2 linked regions of the Astyanax mexicanus genome follow. The protein of the gene in region 1 interacts with the protein of each later gene in a biochemical or structural test. Links are inferred from orthologs where the notes say so. Each region holds a gene or a part of one and is shown in the gene's direction. Other genes may lie near its edges.

Region 1 (10,257 bases):
CTACGCTAGCAATGCTCTCTAAAGGACGGGAAAATGGAACTCCAGAAGCACAGCACCTCGCTGTGTCGTGGGAACCCAGCGGGACGTGTATTCTTTTATACAGCTGTGCGTCCCAGATATCAAACAGCAGCCCAGCAGATGGACCCTGCGCTGTTCCATTCTAGCAGAAGCTTTTATAGGTGGGACTGAGACGGTTCTTCTACTTTCAGACTAAGCAGCACAATGATTTAAACAATCCAGACTGCTGGTGAATAAACAGCTTTTATTAAAGTAAAACTTGTTTTTACTGTGTTGTAATATGACACACACAGTAGCACTAGCCCTATAGACAGATGCACTGCGGGCTGGATGACCCCCTGACCCTGTCTGACCCTAAAACCCGAATCTCCCCGGAAACTGGAGGTTAAAGGAAGCTGCAGCTGCATGATGTCAGCATTGTTTCTTTAGAAGCTACTCTATATATCTTCACGATGATCTCAAACTTCTGCTTTATCTCATCTCACATACAGTGACATATGCTGCCTCTAAGCCATGTCAGAAATATTGCATAGTTATTATCAGAATACTGTGCCCTCAAACCTATTCTTTTAAAACTTAACATTAATTAATATGTATATTTTTAATGACTAAACTAATTATGAAGTGAGAGTAGAGATTAAGAAATTATTAAAAATTGCAAAATGTTCAATAATATCTCAATTCATACAATTTCAACAGTATTTACAACATTCTAAAGCATTACAATTTATTACACAGCAAAAAAAATTTAATCTTAGTGAAGTGAAGATCTAAGTGAAATGATCCAATTTTAAGGAAATAAATCTGTAATTTAATGTTTAATAATGATGAGTTTCAACCGTTCCACAGTTATCATATTTTTCGGACTATAAGGCACACTTAAAATCCTTTAATTTTCCTAAAAATGGACAGTGTGCCTTAATTTATGTACATTGCACTAACACTAGCTCGGACTGTAGTCTTTGTGTTTACCATGTTAAAACAAGCTCTGTATAAAGCTGATAATACTCTGGGTTACCGAAACACATTTACAGCATTTACGTCCCACTAGCACTGTGGTTAGCAGCTAATGCTAATGCTGCTGCACCCAGCCTTAGTGCTGGAGAACCTTCACTGAAAATTCAGTAATACACTCTTGCACAAAATACTGGAAATGTAAGATTACTGTCAATATACTGAAGCCCTTTACTCACCCAAATAAACAGTTTTCAGCAGAGAAATCTGTCTAGATTAACATCCAGCACTCATATGTTTTTAAAATACAGTTTTGTTTACTTAGCCTTTTTTTTTTCTCTAGCTTCTCCATTAAAAGAGAAACATGGCGAAACCTGTACTCACTTCGATGTAGGCATCCTTACTAGTGTCACTTAATGCAGCCTATAATCTGGTGCGCCTTATGTATGAAAATAAACCAGAAAATAGACACTTATTAAAATTGTGCCTTATAGTCTAAAATATATGGTAACTTGAATAATTAGTTGCGATATTGCTTAAACATTCATTAAAATGTTTATTACTGTTTAAAGCACTTTTATTCATGTAGCGTTATTGTAAAATTCCTTTGCCAGAACAGAATTTTACAATACAGAAATCTAAACAGTTTTATATTTCCACTTGCATGCATGTGATGAAAATGTGGTTGACCTTTAATTCCATGTTTTAATTTTTCATTATTTTAATTACCATGATATTAGACCATATCAGGGTGGACAATCTTTACCTTCGCTAAAAATTGAGACAAAATTTTAAGTGTCATTAATATTTTTAATTGCTGAATATCGTCGCTGTCCTATAAAAAACACTTATCTCCTTTTCTGTCGATTTTTAGATTACTACATAATTTGAACAGACAAACTCTCTCACACTGTGCCAAATTTATTGATGAACAGATCAAAAGAAACTTTTCAAAATGACCTGAAATAAACTAATTCTACATTGACTTCCATTAAAAGTTCACAAGGTTTTTTTCTCTCCTGTAAAGTTGCTGTTTTGGAGATAAGTGTTTTTCATTGGACAGCGACGATATTCAGTAAGTGTCTTCAGTCCTTTAGAAATAAAAGAGTGTGAAGGTTGTGATGTCACCAACATCAAAGATTGCTTTCTTAAAGATGCAGATATCCCAAGATTCCTGGGTGGACAGTAAAGACCATTAAAGTGCATTACAGTTTAAATGAATCAAAAGGAAGATACGGTATATACAGTATCAGGCAAAAGTTTGGACACACTTTGTCATTAAGTTTTTATCTTTATTTCTTTATTTAATGTATTTTCTACATTGTAGATTAATATTGAAAAACATGTAAATAGTTAAGGGACACATATGGAATTATGTAGTAAACAGTAAAAAATTGATTTGAGGTGATTTAATTGGGATGAGCTGGAGCTTCACAGCAAAGTGAAGGAAAAGCAGCAGCTATTGGTCAGCACCTCCAGAAACTCCTACCTTCAAGACGTTGAGAAAACTATTCCAGGTGACTCTCCCTCATGAAGACACTGAGATTAAAATCTCACCAAGAGTGTGCAGATCTGAACTCAAAGATAAATGTAAATTTAAAGTATAAAACATATTCTGGGTTGTTTAACACTTTTTGTTCACAGAATAATTCCATGTTTCTGTATAGCTTTAATATGTTGAATTTACAATGTAAAAATAATATATATGTTATATTTATGATATTTTTACATTGTAAATTCAATATTTGGATATACTGTATAATACTGTATAATAATTCCCCTTAATTTCACAGGGAAAATTACATTGGCTGGTGAAATGACAAACTCTTAAATGAAACAGATATGATATATACTACGATGCTAATGACATTACAGGTGTAACATATATATATTTTCAGTGCTAATTTTTATTCATTACATATTTTTTACTGACAATTTGCACCATTTGTTCACCTATTTAGTTTAGAGTAAAACATAAAAGTGCCATTATCATATAAATCAAATGTACAATTAAGGGCAAAACACACAGATCCACTTTCCCTCTACAAACGTCAGTATTTTGCCCCCGGAGTGTGTCTGCGTCTGAGTCTGAAATCTGAGTCCAGTGTGGGTGGGGTAGCAGCTGGCCATGCACGCCGATGCGAACCGCCACACTCCGCCCCACCATACTTGACCCCAACGCCTAAATTACTGTGTGTAAAAGTGAGCACAGGTGTGGGTGTGTTCGGCATGTGCTGGAGGTGTGGTGCAGGTGGAGGTGTTGCGAGTGTTCGTTACAGGGGGCGGGTAGGGGACAGGAGTGGACGCAGGTGTCGGAGGATGATATAATGGGCTTGGAGGCTTTTTGCAGGAGGCCCTCGTGGACGTGGTGTTCTTTGCACACGATTAGACCTAAACAATGGCTGGTTTTGCCTGATGATGGACAGTGCCCTGATGTGGGCAATACTCTGGCATGCATTACACACCACCTGTGGAACTGGCTTTAAATAATGTGGACTGAAATTATATAGAATAAACATCTTATAGGATTCAGTTTGTGTGCCAGATATGCAGCAAGTGAGGGCAACCTATATGCGTATATGACTAAAAAATAATTTAAATATCAGTATATAGTATTAATGATAGACAATTGGGTGTTTTATATACATATCTAATATTAATGAGAAATTGCATTACTTACATAAATTGTCAATTACTTTTAACAGTACAGAAATTAGTTGTGAGCAGGTTTGGCAGTTTAATAGCGACATCAAAATGACTGTATTTATGTATTGCCAAAATTAAGAAGTATAATGTTGGCGTATTTGGTGTATTTCTTAAAATTTGCATATTGTAACTACTATACCAAACCATGTCAGTTTAGAAACAGACCAATAAAAATCTTCAGAATGAATAGAAATCCACTCTTTTTTTATTACAATACATATAAACTGGATTAATATTGATGCATATTGCGACAAAAAATGGTAATATAATTTTTTTTAAATCTTTTTTATAATATTTTATTACATGATGCATTAATTAGATTAAAAAATATTGTGTGACATTTTGGCTATATGGTATGTATGTATGTATATATTTGATTTCACTAAATAAAAATGGATGATTACAAGCCATCAAACCAAACTGAACTGCTTGAATTTTTGCACCAGGAGTAAAGCAGCATAAAGTTATCCAAAAGCAGTGTGTAAGACTGGTGGAGGAGAACATGATGCCAAGATGCATGAAGAAAACTGATTAAAATCAGGGTTATTCCACCAAATATTGATTTCTGAACTCTTAAAACTTTATGAATATAAACTTATTTTCTTTGCATTATTTGAGATCTAAAAGCTCTGCATCTTTTTTTGTTATTTCAGCCATATATAAATATATATTTTTGCCTTTTGACTGAACACACATGCAATCCTCTTTGAACCGCGCTACTGTAAGTAAACACACTCTTTCTTTTCTCGTGCAAAATATGTAGATAAAGAGATATGAAAAGATGACATGTAAATTCTGACAAGCTGAGGTGGTCAGATGCTGCTACAGACACAGGGCTAATTGTGTGCTCTCCTGGAGAGAGATTTGCATGTTTAGACTCTGTTTGCGCTGTAGATTCTCTTCTTACACAAACAGTCATGTGCAGTTATTTTAGCTTCTCTTCTGAACTCGTCTGAACTGTACTGCTTTTTTCTGCTGTGTGCACCTGCTGTGCCCTGTTTTACACTATTACTATTGCATGAAAAAAGCAAAAAAACGAAAAAACACATCAGTTTCCTCCAAGAGAACGTAGAGGAGTGAGGGCTGCTGATAGAGCCTGTGCTGTGCCCGTATTACAAAGGGAAACCTCTAAACACAAAGTCAGAATGAAATTTGCACCACAGCGGACCATGTGACCGTGGCGGCCCAATGGAGCTTGAGCTGTTAGGGTTAGGTTGCTTTTTTTTATAGAAGGGAAGAGTTAAACTTGTCACTTGGCTTGGGAGCCGCTATTCTGTGGGCCACCACAACCACAAACCAAAACTGCCACCAGTCACGGCTCCCTGAGCCCTGGAGAAAAGTGAGATAAAGATAGAGCGGGGGGACCAGACCGGACCGTACGATTAAAAACGAAAGAGAGAAGAAACTGAGAGAAGAGAGTGCTGAGTCTACGTGTTGATGTCAGATGTCAGTGTGAATCACCCGGATTACTAAAAAAAAAAAAAAAAAAACGAGAGCGAGAGAAGAGAGAGAGAGAGAGAGAGACAGAAACCACAGCGCGACATTTCTACTCCTTCTCTTTAGCACAAGGGTAAGCATCAGTCGACCGCAGTCTGACCGCCGATCACTATCTGCAGTGTCTCTCAACCATGCACAACACGCAAGGACACAACAACTGCCCTGATGCCACGACCGGACCATCACTGGATGACCATGGACTTGAGGGTGTTGAGGGTGTGGGCGTTGGTGTGTAACCCAGGGATTTTGTTCTGTAGACTTTCAGTTTATTTAGGGAGCACTGTGTAGTGGAGGTTGTCCATTGGTTCTAAAGTCTATAGACTTTTTTTTTACTGATCGTTTCTTAGACCATGCACACCTTCTTACACAAACTCACCATGCCTGTACCATTGGTCTTTCCAGGGCAAAGCAGCAGCACAGACTCAAACTTCAAAATTAGGAGCCAAGTCAAGTTGGAGGCGCTGGACTCCAGTGAAGAGGAGGACAGCGTTTTTGAGAAGCAGCCACTCGCCATGGCCTCGAACAGCATCTTCGAGACCTTCTCCTCCTATCAGTCTTGCTTCACCAGAGGTAAGTCATGTTACGTTTAATTTATATTTAGATTATATGTTGATACATTGCTCAGAATTTCAGAGACACACATTTGTGAAACAAGAAGTTGACGGCTTAAGTTCTTATCTTATCTTCTTAGCCTGACTGCAATCTAACAAACTAATAAGCATGATGGAAAGTAGAGGCAAAACATCCAAAACGTCACACTGGTTGGTTTGCTGTGTCAGTGGTGTACTGAAATCTCGTGGCTGAATCTGAAAACCACAGGTCTGTGGGTTACTGAGTGTTCCACTGGTTAACCTCACTCCACCAAGCAATAACACAGCGGGCTTTTACGAATGTACTGCAATGCCCTTTGTTCTCTGCAATGCTCCTGTGTAAAAAAAGAATAACATATTTGCGTTAGATAAAGTTTTCCTGTTTGTATATGTAAATATATATATATATTTTTATATAAGGATGTTATGGACAATGTTAATAATGTTCATTAAAGTGTGTTGCTTTGAGTAACTTTCACAAAAATAAAATATATATACATTTTTTTAGAAGAAAATGTTCGTTGAACATCTTTCTTGACAATTTCACAAAACACCTTTAAGTGGACCCTCCACAGTTTTGACCACTAAATAATAGAAGTTTGCCTGTTTTAAGACTTTTGACTTTAGTTTAGTTTAGTTGCTGGGTGTGAGAGGGAGGTTAAGGCTCATCACTGCAGCACAGCATTCTTTGCCTGTGTGTCAGACACCTGGGATGGACAACAGACTCAGTTTCTGCTCTTCACTCCCATGGAGAGACAGGGAGCTGGTGTTTTATAGATTTTATGATATTGAGATTGAGGTGGGGGGACAGATGAACTCATAAACACACCCAGAAATTAGAACCTGAAGGAGAATTGCACTGAGGAGTAATGGTGCATATTTAGCAAGCGATGATCTTAAATTGACCGCAACATTTTTTTTCCTTTCTATATCTTCTGCATTTACAGTAGCTGACATACCATACAGATAATCACATTTGTTTCCTGTAATTCACTGATGTTATTATATACTGGTATTAGTATAAATATAAGGCTAACATATTATTTTTACTACGCTAATTAGGTGCATAAGAATGATCAATATTCCATGGTATTGCAATATTTTCTTTTGCACTACTGTATCAATTTTAAAAACACAGTATAGATTTTTGTACAATAATTAGTAGTTCATATTGTTAGATTGGTTTTAGACAGTTGTTTAGTTTGTGCTAAACTCTGACTTGGTCATTAGATCATGCAATTGAGATTTGATAAAAAGTTAAATTATTTTTTACACATATATTATAAATGCATGTATCTTTTTATACTATAGCAGTTTTTTTACATACACTGTCCTAATGTTAATACTGCACATATAAGTCAAGTCAAGTCAATTCAAGTAGTTTTATTGTCAATACTGCATATGTACAGGACATACAGAGAATTGAAATTACATTACCCTCCTCCACAATTTTTACAGCAGGTACAGAATATATATATAATAAAAGAAGGAATGGGAGACACCCATGTATGTGTACAATACAGCAGGGACACAAATAGACATACATGAGACAGAAACAAGGTGCAGTAGTGGTGGGGGGTGAAATAAGATATATAAATATAAATAAAAAGAAATAATACATATAATATAAAAGAATATGAGACACTATATGTACAATACAACAAGAACACAATAGACATACGTAAGACGGAGGACAATAGTTTAATATTGATGGAGATTGAGATGGAATGACAGTATAAATAGAACCCGTATAACAGTAGTGCAAATATGGTATATAGCTTAAGGCTGGTAAAGTGAATGAGTGCGTAATTACTCATTTTGTTGGACAATATATCGCCCCAGAAATAATTGCAATACATCATAGTACTTGTCATTTAAAGCCACTAACATATTGGCAATATACTAGAATAATAATATTGCAATAACACATTTTTAAAAGCAATAAATGTTTAGTTATTTATTTCTTTCCCTAATAAAGACTGTTCTGTGTGTATGGATGTGCTGTTTTTGATGCACTGGTCATTGCACAACCTGCTAAAATACCTAAGATTTTAATTTGTATGCAAGCAAACATGCAATTAAACATAATTAATGTCAGCAAGAAGGTGAACAATGAAGGTCATGATGATTTATTGTACATTTTTGTACAGTATTGTAGGTTTCAGGTCAACTGTAAATGTTTTGTATTTTCATGAAGTCAAAATGTATGTCCAGTTATTACCTAGAACTCAATTGGGCACTTTGACTATTGTAGTATTTCCATAATTTGCCTTTTTTATTATTATTTAAGCTTATTATTTAAGTTTCTTTAGGTAGTTTTTGATGACACACATATTGATATTGATATTTTTACATGATGATGCACAAAAGCTTGAGATTTTCAATAGTGCAGTTTGTTTATTGGAGACAATACTTACACTCCTTCTTAAAAGTTTGTCTAGCAGCTTAAAAGCTTGCATTTTCAAAAACATAAAATACATCAAAGTACTACATGATGATGGTATGTCTGTTAAATTATGTATCATCGATGATGAGCATGGTTTTGTCATGTCTGCTTTGCTATATGTCTTCCTTTTCCTTTGATGATCCTATAATCTAGTGTTGGTGTGAATGCTCACTGCACGGCTGGGTTAAAAACAGAGGCCCAAATCCATCAGCAGCCAGCACAAGAGTATTGTATATCATTGCTGTCCAATCAAAAACAAATGTATTCAAAACAAACAAGCAACTTTACAGGAGAGATAAAAAAAACCTTCTAAACTTTCAATGGACGTCAATATAAAAAAGTTCATTTTTAGAACATTTTGAAGTGTTTCTATTGGTCTGTTCATTAATACATTTGGCACAGTGTAAAGGACAAGTTTGTCTGTTCAAATTATGTTATAAACAAAAATATGGGTAATTAAGGTCTATGAATTACCTTAAATTTACTATAAATTTGCTGTAGGTATTACATTTTCAGATGGTGCATATAATGCTTTTGGGAAAACACAGTGGCCCGTCGTAAACATCTAATCCAAGGAGAGAGCTAAGATTTGCAGAGAGCTAGCTAACATACTAACTTTAGCAGAGAGCTAGCGAACATACTAACTTTAGCTAGCTTAAACGAGCTAGCTAACATTACCAGGCATAGAACTAAGGTTAGCAGAGAGCTAGTTAACAATAACGGCTAGCTAACTAACATACTAACTTTATCAGCGAGCTAGCTAACATACCAACTTTAGAGCAAGAGAGCAAGCTAATATACAAACTTTAGCTAGCTTAAACGAGCTAGCTAACATTACCAGGCATAGACCTAAGGTTAGCGGAAAGCTAGCTAACGTTAGCGGCGAGTTAGCTAACATATTTACTGTACATACTAACTTTAGCGGTGAGCTAGCTAACATACTAACTTTAGCAGAGAGCTGGCTAACATACTAACTTTAGCTAGATAAAGCGGACTAGCTAATATTACCAGGGATAGAACTAAGGTTAGTGGAAATTTTGCTAACATACTAACTTTAGCAGCAAGCTAACCAAAATTAGCAGCAAGCTAGCTAACATACTAACTTAAGTAGTTAGCTAGCTAACATACTAACTTTAGGGGAAAGCTAGCTAACATACTAATTATAGCAATGAGCTAGCTAACATAATAACTTAAGCAGTGAGCTAGCTAACATACTAACTTTAGCGATGAGCTAGCTAACATAATAACTTAAGCAGCGAGCTAGCTAACATACTAACTTTAGCGATGAGCTAGCTAACATAATAACTTAAGCAGTGAGCTAGCTAACCTACTAACTTTAGCAATGAGCTAGCTAACATAATAACTTAAGCAGTGAGCTAGCTAACATACTAATTTTAGCGATGAGCTAGCTAACATAATAACTTAAGCAGTGAGCTAGCTAACATAATAACTTAAGCAGCGAGCTAGCTAACCTACTAACTTTAGCGATGAGCTAGCTAACATAATAACTTAAGCAGCGAGCTAGCTAACATACTAACTTTAGCGATGAGCTAGCTAACATAATAACTTAAGCAGTGAGCTAGCTAACCTACTAACTTTAGCAATGAGCTAGCTAACATAATAACTTAAGCAGCGAGCTAGCTAACATACTAATTTTAGCAATGAGCTAGCTAACATAATAACTTAAGCAGCGAGCTAGCTAACATACTAATTTTAGCAATGAGCTAGCTAACATAATAACTTTAGCTAGCTAAAGTGAGCTAGCAAACATACTAAATTTAGTATTAAACGAGTTAGCTAACATTACAAGGGATAGAATTAAGGTTAGCAAAAAGCTATCTAACATTAGTGGTGAGATAGTTAGCATAAAAACGTCAGTGGAAAGTTAGCTAACATACCAGGGAGAGAACTAAAGAAATGATGATTAATTTTTTTTGTCTTAAATAATATTTATTGAGTCTTAAAAAGCATAAATTTTACTTTTTTAAATGGTGCAGGAACCCTGTCAGATGCCAGTTTGTTTGTGTGCTCTGTGTGTGTGTGTGT
Region 2 (11,004 bases), on another chromosome or scaffold:
CAGCTCCAGCAGATGAGCCAGCTTCCATTGCTGAGGTGATGACAGTAAACGCAGTGTCTGAGGCTGTGGAAAGCGTGGAATCTGCAACTGAAGCAGCGTCAGAGGCTTCCGACCCGGGGCCTAACCTCCCAGCGGATGTTTCCGCAACAGAAGAGCCAGCTGCTCAGACAGTGGTTGCAATAGCAACAGAACCGCCCCCTGAAGTCAAAGAGGCTGCTGAAGATCTGGTTAGCGTGGCCATGGAAGCAGCCGAGGCAACGGGTGAGCCGCCTGCTGTAGAAGAAGCCCCAGCTCCCTAGACCACCTGACCCCTGCAATGATCATTTAGAGACCTGTGTACAGTAGCGGTGTTATGTCTGTAGAGGAGGAGGAGAAGGAGGAGAGTTATCACATCGCCCCCTGCTGTTTTGGTTCAAAATGTAGGCTAAAAGAGAAACGTTTTCAAAGGCAGACAGCAGAGGGCACAGTTCTACTCTTTCTCTACCAGTATGGTGGTATTTTGGTGTCCTTGGTTGTACTGGTCCTGCCTCTGAAGGTAAAAAGGCTGGGTGAAAAAAGAATAGGTGGAGCTAATCTGCTGTAGGCTGAATGAGGGCGGGTTAAAGTGCTTTAGGCTAAGTGGGTGGGGCTAAACTGCTGTAGACTGAATATGTGGGATTAACTCATGAAGCATGAGTGGATGGGGCTTTCCTTCTCTAGGCTGAATGAAGGGGCTTAATTTCTCTATGCTTAATGGGTGGGGCTAAACTGCTGTAGGCTGAATGGGAGGGGCTAAACTGCTGCTCTCTCTCTCTCTCTCTCTCTCTCTCTCTCTCTCCTCTAGTGTGTGAAATAGAGTAGTTCTACCCCAGTGCCTTACACACAACTTAATGTAAGATAAACTCATTCAGATTTGGGGTTTGGTGTGAAATTGTCTTTACAGTGGTTACAAATGGGTCCAGGCATTGTTTGCCATCACTAGACCAAAAATAAAACCATTTTATTTACTATACAAAAACCCAGCAGTCAACTTACATGTGTCTTCTGAGGTTTATACGTAGTAAAACAGTGTAAAATCTGACAAAATCCAGTTTTCTTTAGGGACTATTTTTGCCATACATCACCCTGCATATTGGATATGTATCCCTCCACCAGGTTTATGATACACAATCGTAAAAACATGTTTTATACCCAAAGTCTCAAGCTTTAGGCTTTTGGTTTAATAACTTTCCTGGAGGGAGCTTTCTTCTTGGAAGAATTCAGACTGGGTACGTTTATCTAGAAAGGGGTGTTTCACAGCAAACCACAGTGACTGATTCTGTTTACATCTTTTCTGAAGCATTCCAAAAAGAATTAGCCAATTATGGCCTTTTTTAACCAGTTGGGGGTCACTGCCATTTTTTTCTTAGCGTTATAAGTTTAGTTTGTCTTTTGTAAGTTCATTTTTACAGTCTCTGGTTCAAGTAGATCTGACACTCTTCTTAAGTTAAAAGCTTATTCTTGTTTAAATAAAGTTCATTTATCTATATCACCATTGCAGAGTTTTTCTGTACACACACACAGAGTGACTACACTACTACACTACTAAAGCCTATGTGTACAATATTACTTGCTGTTTGCTCACATCTAGTGGCAGAAGGTAGTACAACAGCAGTGCCGCCTCCACAGATCAGTTAAGCTGGGTTATTGGGCCTGGTTTTAGGGTTTGTACGTCGGTTTTCCAGACAGTGATTAAGTCTAATCCTAGACTAAATTTTCCTTTCTTTGAGAAAGCTCCATTTAAAATGATGTATATTCCAAGCTCAATCCCTGTCTGGGAAACCGACCCTATATGTAGGACAATATGTAGGACCTAGTAGACAAAATGTCAGCCAATCAGCACTCAGTATACAAAATGTCAGCCAGTCATCGTTCAGTAGACAAAATGTCAGCCAATCAAAACTCAGCAGTTAGAACAGTAGCCAATCAACACTTAGTAGTCAGTATCACTGGAATTCTGGAATTTATGACAACAGCCAATTGTCTAGTCTATCTAATAATCAGTAGATGGAACAAAAGAAGTAGCTAGAACACTAGTTGAGCATCACTCTGTAGCCAGACAATCATCACTTAGTAGTCAACATTTCAGCCAATCAACATCCAGTAACATCCAATCAACATCAGCAAAACAGCTCTTAGAAGACTAGAACTCAGCACTCAGTACCTAGAACACTAGTCAATCAGCCCTCAGTAGCCAGAGTGTCAGCCAATCAACAGTCTGTAGCCAGAATGCCAGAAAAACAACCAATCAATAATTAGTACTTAGAATGCCATCCATAGCAAATCAGCAGACAGAATGTCAGCCAGTCATCACTCAGTAGACAAAATGTCAGCCATTTAGCACTCAGTAGTCAGAACACTAGCCAATATACACACAGCAAACAGAAAAAGTCAATCAATGCTTAGTACTTAGAATGCCATCCAATCAGCTCTTAGTAGAGAGAATGCTTACATTCAGCATTTAGTAGCTAAAACACCAGCCATTCATTACTTAGTAGCCAAAACTCTACTCAATCAGAACTCAGTAGTAAAAGCTTTAGCAAATCAACACTTAACTGTCTAAATACTGGCCAATTAACACTTAGTAGTCAAAAGCTTCAGCAATTAGACACTAAGCACTAAGTAGTCAGAATGCCAACAAATTAACACTACAACAGCGACCAGAAAAAACGGCCAATCAACACTTAGCATCAAAATAACAGCCAATCAACAATAGTCACTACTTCACCGCCATGTTGCAAGCAAGGTTGGCTTCTCGTGAAAAATGTGTTCATGTGTCGCCCCCTGGTGGAAAAGGTATTTATCTCTTAAAAACAGAGACAAGACATGTTCATCACTTTAACTTCACTCCTGGCATGATATTCTTGCAGTGGCTCCGGTGTTGGAGGTTCTGGACGCTGTGAAGGTTCTTAGCAGTTCTGTGGCAGAGATGGCTGCTGCTTCAGTGGGGGACGAGAGCAGCTCAGCAGCACTAGCGCCCCCCATTGGGCGAGCAGAGGAGCGGAGGGTGGTTTTGGCCGAGGAAGTCAAGCTGGAGCAAGTTTACGAAGATTTTGCGACCTCCAACAAGGAGATACCGCACTGCTATCAGTGTTCTGACTCACACTCTGAACATGCTGAACTTGAAGCCTCTACAATGCCCCCTGCTGGTCTGGAGGACACTTCACATGTTGGACATGTGGAAAACGAATACTCTCCCATTGGTTTAGAGGGTGCTGAGGGTCCTGAAACCTCCCCATTCCATAATGCTGGTCTGGAGGACACCTTATATGGGGGAAACGTGGAACCTGAACAGTCCATAATGTACCCTGCTGGTCGGGAGGAGAACACAGCGCAGGATGATTGCCTGGAGGATTACACAGCAGCCTTGGAGTCTGTGGAGGAGACTGGAGGTGTGTTTTTTATTATATTTTAATATTTGATATTGATATTTCAGAGGGATTAACACAAACAGATGTTAAGATTTATCTATTTAACTATGTCGCAGCAGCACTAAATTCGTGCAACATGCATTTGTAACAATCAAGCTATTTAACCAGCTGTTCCAGAGGTGAACACCACATGGGCTCACCATATGTCTCTGGAATCTTAAAATGGGAATCTTAAAATTTACATTGGTGGTGGAAAAGTGGAGAGGAGTGATCTGATTGGTTCATAAAAGGCAACTGTAACTGAAAGGATAAAACGGGTTAGTAAAATTCACTCTATGGACAAAAGTATGTGGATAGACTTCATAGACTTAGCATCAGTAAGGCCAGGTAATGAAGGTGGATGACTAGTTCCGTCTCTTCAATGCTTCCCAAAAGTATTGGGTTGAGCACCATCATTCCAGAGAACACAGTTTCACTGCTCTACAGATCAACGGACCTCAATAGAGGAGGTTTTTAAAAATGTCTTAGCCGACACGTGCAGCATTTTAATAAAAGTAAACCCGTCCCCTTCCTTCTTCACTGATGTAGTAAAGCATGCATGCAACTTTTCCAGAATATCCACAGGTTGACACAAGACAAAAGGGATTCTCTAGACCAGGGGTAGGCCATAGGCCGCGACACACCCTGACGACACAGGTTCTATCCCGTTTGAGGAGCTGTGTTAATAATCTTTCCTTTTTTCTTGGGACTAGTAGTACCCAATTGCAGAACAGTTGGTCTTAAAGCAGGTAATGCTTTAAGACCAACTGTTCTGCATTTGGGTTCAACAACCCTCTGTGATGGAGAGCTACTAGTCTGTATCACTCCATCCCATTACACTTCATTTTCCAAAACATAATTTTGAAAAAGCCATTTTCATGTGGACAGAAATACAAAATGGAGATACAATAATAAAAAAAAAAAAAAAAAAAAAAAACGTTTTAAAAAAACTCGTGCACAATTTGTGTGGACAAGACTGTAGTTAGGAATCCTAAATCAGTAGGACTTACTCAGTAGAAGAGTTTTCAGACACTTGGTGTATAATCAAATCCAAATTGCTGCCTGATAAATATTAGTGGGTAGTGAGTCCCAGATCATTGTGTATAAATAATGTCTGTGTGTGTGTGTGTGTGTGTGTGTGTGTGTGTCTAGCTGAAGATGCAGATGAAAAGGACACAAGGGCGATGTGAAGAAAACTGACTTCTGGAACCTGGAGTCAAACAGTCAAGCTTGATACTATGTTACTTTGTTACTATGATACCCTGTTTCCATATTAGTATGTTACACTATATTAGTATATAGTTACTTTATTACCCACCCGGTTACCTTGTAACACTGTTAGCCTAAAACTGTTACCCTTAAACCTTGTAACTATGCTACCTTTTTTACATTGTTTCCATATTAGTATGCTATTCCATTACCCTGTTACCTTGTTACCCTGTTGATTCCCTGTTACCATAATTGAATGCTACTCTATATTTTTATGTTACTCTATTACCTATTCTGTTACATGGCCCGGCTCACTGATACCCTGATACCTTGTAACTATGTTACCTTGTTTCATTGTTAGCAGGTTGCCCTATTAACATATTAGTATGCTACTCCATTACTCTGTTACCTTGTTACGTTGCTATCTTATCATATTGTTACCCAGTTACTCTTCTGTTTTGTTGTTATGCTCTTACCTTGTTACCCTGATTCTTTGTGATTATGTTACCTTGTTGCATAGTTTTCATATTATCCCTGTTACCTTGTTAGATTGTTACCCTGTTGTTTCCCTGTTACTATAATTGTATGGTACTCTATTACCTATTCTGTTACCTTGTTACATGATCCTACTACATTTTCACCTTGTTATCTTGAACTATGTTACCTTGTTTCATTGTTATCACGTTGCTCCATTATCATATTAGTATGTTACTTCATTATCCTGTTACATTGTTATATTGTTACCTAGTTACTTGACCCTGCTTTGATTGTTATTTTCTTTCCATGTTACCCTGCTATCTTGTAACTGTTACCATGTTACATCTTACCTTGTTACATTGTCAGTCTTACTTAAATAAATCAGTATATGAAAAAAATACTGTTATACTGTTACCATGTTACTTTGTTACCATATTCATATGTTTTGTTTCCCATTTACCTTATTGCATCTCACCATGTTACAAAATTATTTAAAACATGAGTACATAATTTGTTTAAAAAAAACTATTCAGTGGACATATCTGCTGCGTTACAGTTTAGCATGAACATTTGATCCTTGTTGGAGTTTCAGTTTTAATTTATAAGTTCTCAAAGCTCTCTGACTCTGTAGACTCTGTGTTACAATGTGTTTAGTCGGAGAGTACATTAATAATAAACTGTTAGTTAATATGATGTGTTTGACTGTTTATTGAACCCCAGATATCTGAATAGCTGCTCTGGCATGGTGGTGGTGTGTTAGTAGTGTGTGTAGTGCTGGTACGAGTGAGCGGAATCAGATACAGCAGTGCTGCTGGAGTTTTTAAACACCTCAGTGTCATGGCTGACCTCAGAATTATCCATTAACTCAGTATCCTGTGTGCAGCATCCTGTAATCAGTGACACAGGACTAGAGAATGACGAACATAAACTGTGCAGAAAAAGATTCAGAGCTTAAAAAAATTAAAAGAAAAAATATATAATAATACTCCAGTATAGTACAGATACAGCATTTTAATAATTAAGTACAGTAGTTCAGTACTTTTACTTCGTTACTGTACCTTACATCTCAGGTCTTAGCCAGTGTATTTTTTTTTAATCACTTCGGTTTGGAACAAGACCGCAAAAATGGCCGCAGTAAACTTCTAAGCTCCCTTCTAAGTGCCCTAACTAGGGGACGTGTCTGCAATTCGGAGCTCGCCCTCATTCATTTCAAGCGCAGGGGTTGTGGCGCAGGCGCAGTCGCTCTCTGTGGAACGTCACCGGCGTGTGTGTATAATATATGTGAGTGTGTATTTGCGTTTAGTCGTAGAGGAGTTTTCTTATTACTCGTTAAATTAGATTAAGCCTCGGCGGCTCGTGTTTCAATTCGGCGGTGTGTCCCCTCACTCTGAGCCCTCCGCGCTGAGGGTCAGCGGGGGGTGAGTGAGCGGCGCGCGGGGTCGGAGCTCCAGGTCCAGATAAACACACTCCCAGAGAGAGAGACCCTGAGAGAGTGCAGCTGAAACTCACTCTGCAGAGCAGCACTGAGGTAAAGTGAGCGCTGTTCACACTCGCCACTCACCTGTTCACACTCCTGCACTCTTCACAGGGCTCTCCATCAGCGGGGAGAGGGCTGCTTTAGCTTAGCCTAGCCCTGGGGCTGCTCTCTGCTCAGCTGTGGGCTATTTAGCTTTAGCTGCAGTGCTAGCTAACAGGCTAATGCTCATAAAGTGACCAGCAGAAGCTGTAAACAGCAGATTTAATCCGGTTTCACATTAGGAGAGTTTACACTGCTTGCAGTTAACTGCTTGTTAACACTTTTTGGTTAATTGCATTTTATATACAGTGTAAACACTGTTCTTTCATAGCTAGTGTAATGCAGTTTAAACTGGTTTAATACATTAATGCACTTTACTATATAGTTTATTGCTCTAGGCTGAATAAATGGGTGGGGCTAAACTGCTCTAGGCTGAATAAATGGGTGGGGCTAAACTGCTCTAGGCTGAATAAATGGGTGGGGCTAAACTGCTGTAGACTGAATAAATGGGTGGAGCTAAACTGCTGTAGGTTGAAAAAATGGGTGGGGCTAAACTGCCGTAGGCTGAATAAATGAGTGGGGCTTAATGGCTGAAGGTAGAATGAGTAAACTTATCTGCTGTAGACTAAATAAATGGGTGGGGCTTAACTGCTTTAGGTGAATTAATGGGTGGGACTAAACTGCTCTAGGCTGAATGGGTGGGGCTAAACTGCTGTAGACTGAATAAATGGGTGGGTCTAAAATGCTGTAGGCTGAATAAATGGGTGGGGCTTAACTGCTTTAGGTGAATTAATGGGTGGGACTAAACTGCTGTAGGCTGAATGGGTGGGGCTAAACTGCTTTAGGTGAATTAATGGGTGGGACTAAACTGCTGTAGGCTGAATGGGTGGGGCTAAACTGCTGTAGACTGAATAAATGGGTGGGGCTAAACTGCTGTAGACTGAATAAATGGGTGGGGCTAAACTGCTGTAGACTGAATAAATGGGTGGGGCTAAAATGCTGTAGGCTGAATAAATGGGTGGGGCTTAACTGCTTTAGGTGAATTAATGGGTGGGACTAAACTGCTGTAGGCTGAATGGGTGGGGCTAAACTGCTGTAGGCTGATTGAATGGGTGGGCTAAACTGCTGTCTGGTGTAAACCTGAGAAGCCACTTACTGATTTTTTTCTCTCTTTCTCTTTTCTCTCTTTCTTTTTCTCTCTCTCAGAAGGTGGAGGTCGGTGATGACATCGGTGGTGTTGGTGGACAGTGGGGGACGGGTGGTGGAGTACATTACTGCAGTGGATGATATACAGCAGGTAAAGTTAATACACTTCTATCACTACATCTCCCCAAACCATCACTGATCGGTGGAAACTTCACACTAGACCTCAAGCAGTTTGGACTGTGTGTCTCTCCACTCTTCCTCCAGACTCTCCCTTAATTTTCGAAAGAAATGTAAAATTTACTGATGATCAGTGATGGTTTGTTTGGAGAGACATGTCATCTGCTGGTGTTGATCCACTGTGTTTTATTATCAAGTCTAAAGTCAGTGCAGTTTTGTTTTCCCACAAAATCTTACAGCACTTCATGCTTCCCTCTGCTGATGACTTTTATGGAGATGCAGATTTAATTTTCCAGCAGGATTTGGCACACTGCCCACACTGCCAAAAGTAAATAACCTGAAAATTTGTCATATTATCTTAGTGCCATATCGCACACCCATTCTCACCAATTGTGAACTGTGAAAGGTGTGTAATGTAAGATAAAGTTAGCTACTTTAATCTACCTTCTCTCTCCAATTCTTTCTTTGTCTTCATCCTGTATGACTAGTCAAATTAAAAGAGCTCTTTTGTAATTGTAAAAAGTATTGGTCTGGTACGTCTGCTTGAAATAAAAATGTTCAGTGTTCTCTTAATATTGTTAAATTGGAGTTTTTTCATTGCAAGACAAGACAAGACAAGACAAAAATCCGATTCTGTAACATTCCCCCTCTCAGACTTCTCTACTTCTTCTCTTTTCATGTGTTTCAGGTGGAGGGTGTGTGTGCGGTGGACGGTGTGTATGATGGTGTGTGTGATTACGCAGACGTGGTGGTGGAGCAGGTGGAGGAGTGTGTGGACGAGGTGTTGGTGTTTGATGATGCAGAGCTGATACAGGACGTGGCCGAGGAACAGGAAGTGGAGACTGAATCAGTGGAGACAGGTAACACACCTACACACACACACACACACACACACACACACACACACACACACCTACACACCTTCCCTCCCCAATCTTGACATGCTTTACTCAGGCTGAAGTATAGATACTGGGGTTTAAAAATACTTACGTAGAAGTTGAAGTATCAACTCAAGATTTTTACTCAAGTGAAAGTATAAAAGTACTTGTTGTTTCAGAACTAATTAAAGTATAAAAGTGAAAAAGTAATATGAGGGGACCCGCCCTCCCCAAAACACATTTTTCCAAAAGCCATAATTACTATAATCTTATATTAAAATGTTAATGTTAAAAAGTTTGAGATGCACTAGGCTCAAAGATTTAAAGAATAAATCAAATGTGTAATTGGTGAACTGAAACTTAATAAACTTATTAATGGCCAACCTTAGCCCAAATGTGTTCATTATCATAATGCCAGGCAAGAATGCCGTCTATCTGTAGCCATGGTGATTAAAAGCAAAGAAATGATTATTAAAGTGTCCATAAGAACCAGAGAATAAAAAAGGGCTGCTGTGCAACTCCCTCTGTTGATAACATTGTCTGTGAAGTAGCATAGTTTCCCGTAAACCAATAGTGCAAAAGTAGGCTGGATCAAAAAAAGCGCCAAGGTTTTGTAAGCCTGAACAGAACCACTTAAAGAGTTACACACTGATTAGCACAGACACTAGCAGACATTAGCAGAAACCCTCTCACTGAAATATTGTGAAGATGTATGGTTGGTATACAGTGAATAGCTCTATTAGAGTCCTTGTTCGAATCCATATTATGGCAAAAACTACTCAACTAAGTTACAAAAAAAACTTTACTTTAGAAAATGAAGGTCAGTCAATCTCAAATGAATATTTTTAGAACTTAGAAAGTATCCTTAAGTGCAGTCGCAAAGACCATCAAAAACTATATGATGAAACTCGCACTCATCAGGACTGCCTCTAGACAGGAAAAGCAAGCGTTACCTCTGTTGCATAGGATGCATTCCTCAGAGTTACCAGCCTCAGAATCCACAAGTGTACAGCATCGAAAAGTATTTTTTGGTTTGTTCAACAATTTTAAGTTACTACATGGTGAGCGTATGTGCAAAACCAAACACTTCCTGAGATTTTTATACTCTGCAAATAAGGTTTTAATTTAGAAAAGCCTAGAACCAAGCTGAGATGTTTCGTACAATAAAGTACAAAAAAAAGTTTGTTTCTATCCTATTTGTCAGGCATTCTTTATTCCAGCACCCCATGTTGGTTTTATCTCACCTTAAACACACAAGTATATACTAGTATTTTAATTGACACCACTAATACAAATATAATTGCATTTTACATTTTTTACATTCATTCTGTTATTTACATTTAAATATCCACTATAAAAACGTATAAAAAAAACATCTTAAAAAATACATTTAATTTAATTTAAACTTAAATCTAAACTTAAAAACGGTGAGTTTCTTTGATTTTTACCAAGTTGAAAAGCTCTAGTATATAATCGAGGAAGATGGATGATAACAAGCCATCAACCCAAGCTGAACTTAAATAAATTTATCCAAAAGCAATGTGTAAGACTGGTGGAAGAGAGCATGCCTAGATTCATGAAAACTGTGATTAAAAACCAGGGTTATTCCACCAAATATCGATTTCTGAACTCTTAAAACTTCATGAGCATGAACTTTTTTTTTTTTTGCATTATTTGAGGTCTGAAAGCTCTGCATCTTATTTTGTTAGTTTAGCCATTTCTCGTTTTCTGCAAATAAATGCTCTAAATGACTATTTTTTGGAATTTAGGAAAAATTTTGTCTGTAGTTTGTAGAATAAAACAACGTTAATTTTATGAACAGATACCTATAAATAGCAAAACTAGAGCTGTGTATGTATTTATTTATTTATTAATTTTATTAATATCCGGGTAAAAAGCAAGGAGGAGGGAGGGGGTGTAAAATAAATAAATAAATAAATAAATAAATAAAATAAATCAAAAAGTGGGCGTTACCCATTAGTGGGTGGAGCAGTAAAAGGGGCGGGACTTCCTTTCCGGGCGGAAGGATCACCGGTAGTGCCGCAGCTCCTATGGAACATGGCGCTACACGAGGGAACCGAGACCCAGCTGGACCTGCTGATCCGGGCAGGTAGAGACCGGGAAAGGGGCGCTGAAGGCGGGGGTGGAAACAGGGAGTGAGAGGGGGGAGAGT

Evidence for each region.
Region 2: the proteins of runx1 (region 1) and elf2b form a complex in vitro, tested with the Homo sapiens proteins (2 studies listed by BioGRID and IntAct). The link is inferred for Astyanax mexicanus from reciprocal best matches to the Homo sapiens genes RUNX1 and ELF2.

What each region holds. Positions count from the first base shown.
Region 1 is NC_064428.1:5,712,687-5,722,943, forward strand, and holds the start of runx1 (runt-related transcription factor 1), read left to right. Parts: upstream 1-4,952; 5' UTR 4,953-5,306; coding exon 5,307-5,403; intron 5,404-5,577; coding exon 5,578-5,745; intron 5,746-10,257.
Region 2 is NC_064432.1:4,451,382-4,462,385, forward strand, and holds the start of elf2b (ETS-related transcription factor Elf-2b), read left to right. Parts: upstream 1-6,340; 5' UTR 6,341-6,642; intron 6,643-7,836; 5' UTR 7,837-7,852; coding exon 7,853-7,927; intron 7,928-8,641; coding exon 8,642-8,813; intron 8,814-10,832; exon of another isoform or gene 10,833-10,889; coding exon of another isoform or gene 10,890-10,941; intron 10,942-11,004. Other genes in the region: mgarpb (protein MGARP), read left to right, coding at 4-261, 2,889-3,410, 4,581-4,618. UniProt on the Homo sapiens protein: Isoform 1 transcriptionally activates the LYN and BLK promoters and acts synergistically with RUNX1 to transactivate the BLK promoter. Isoform 2 may function in repression of RUNX1-mediated transactivation.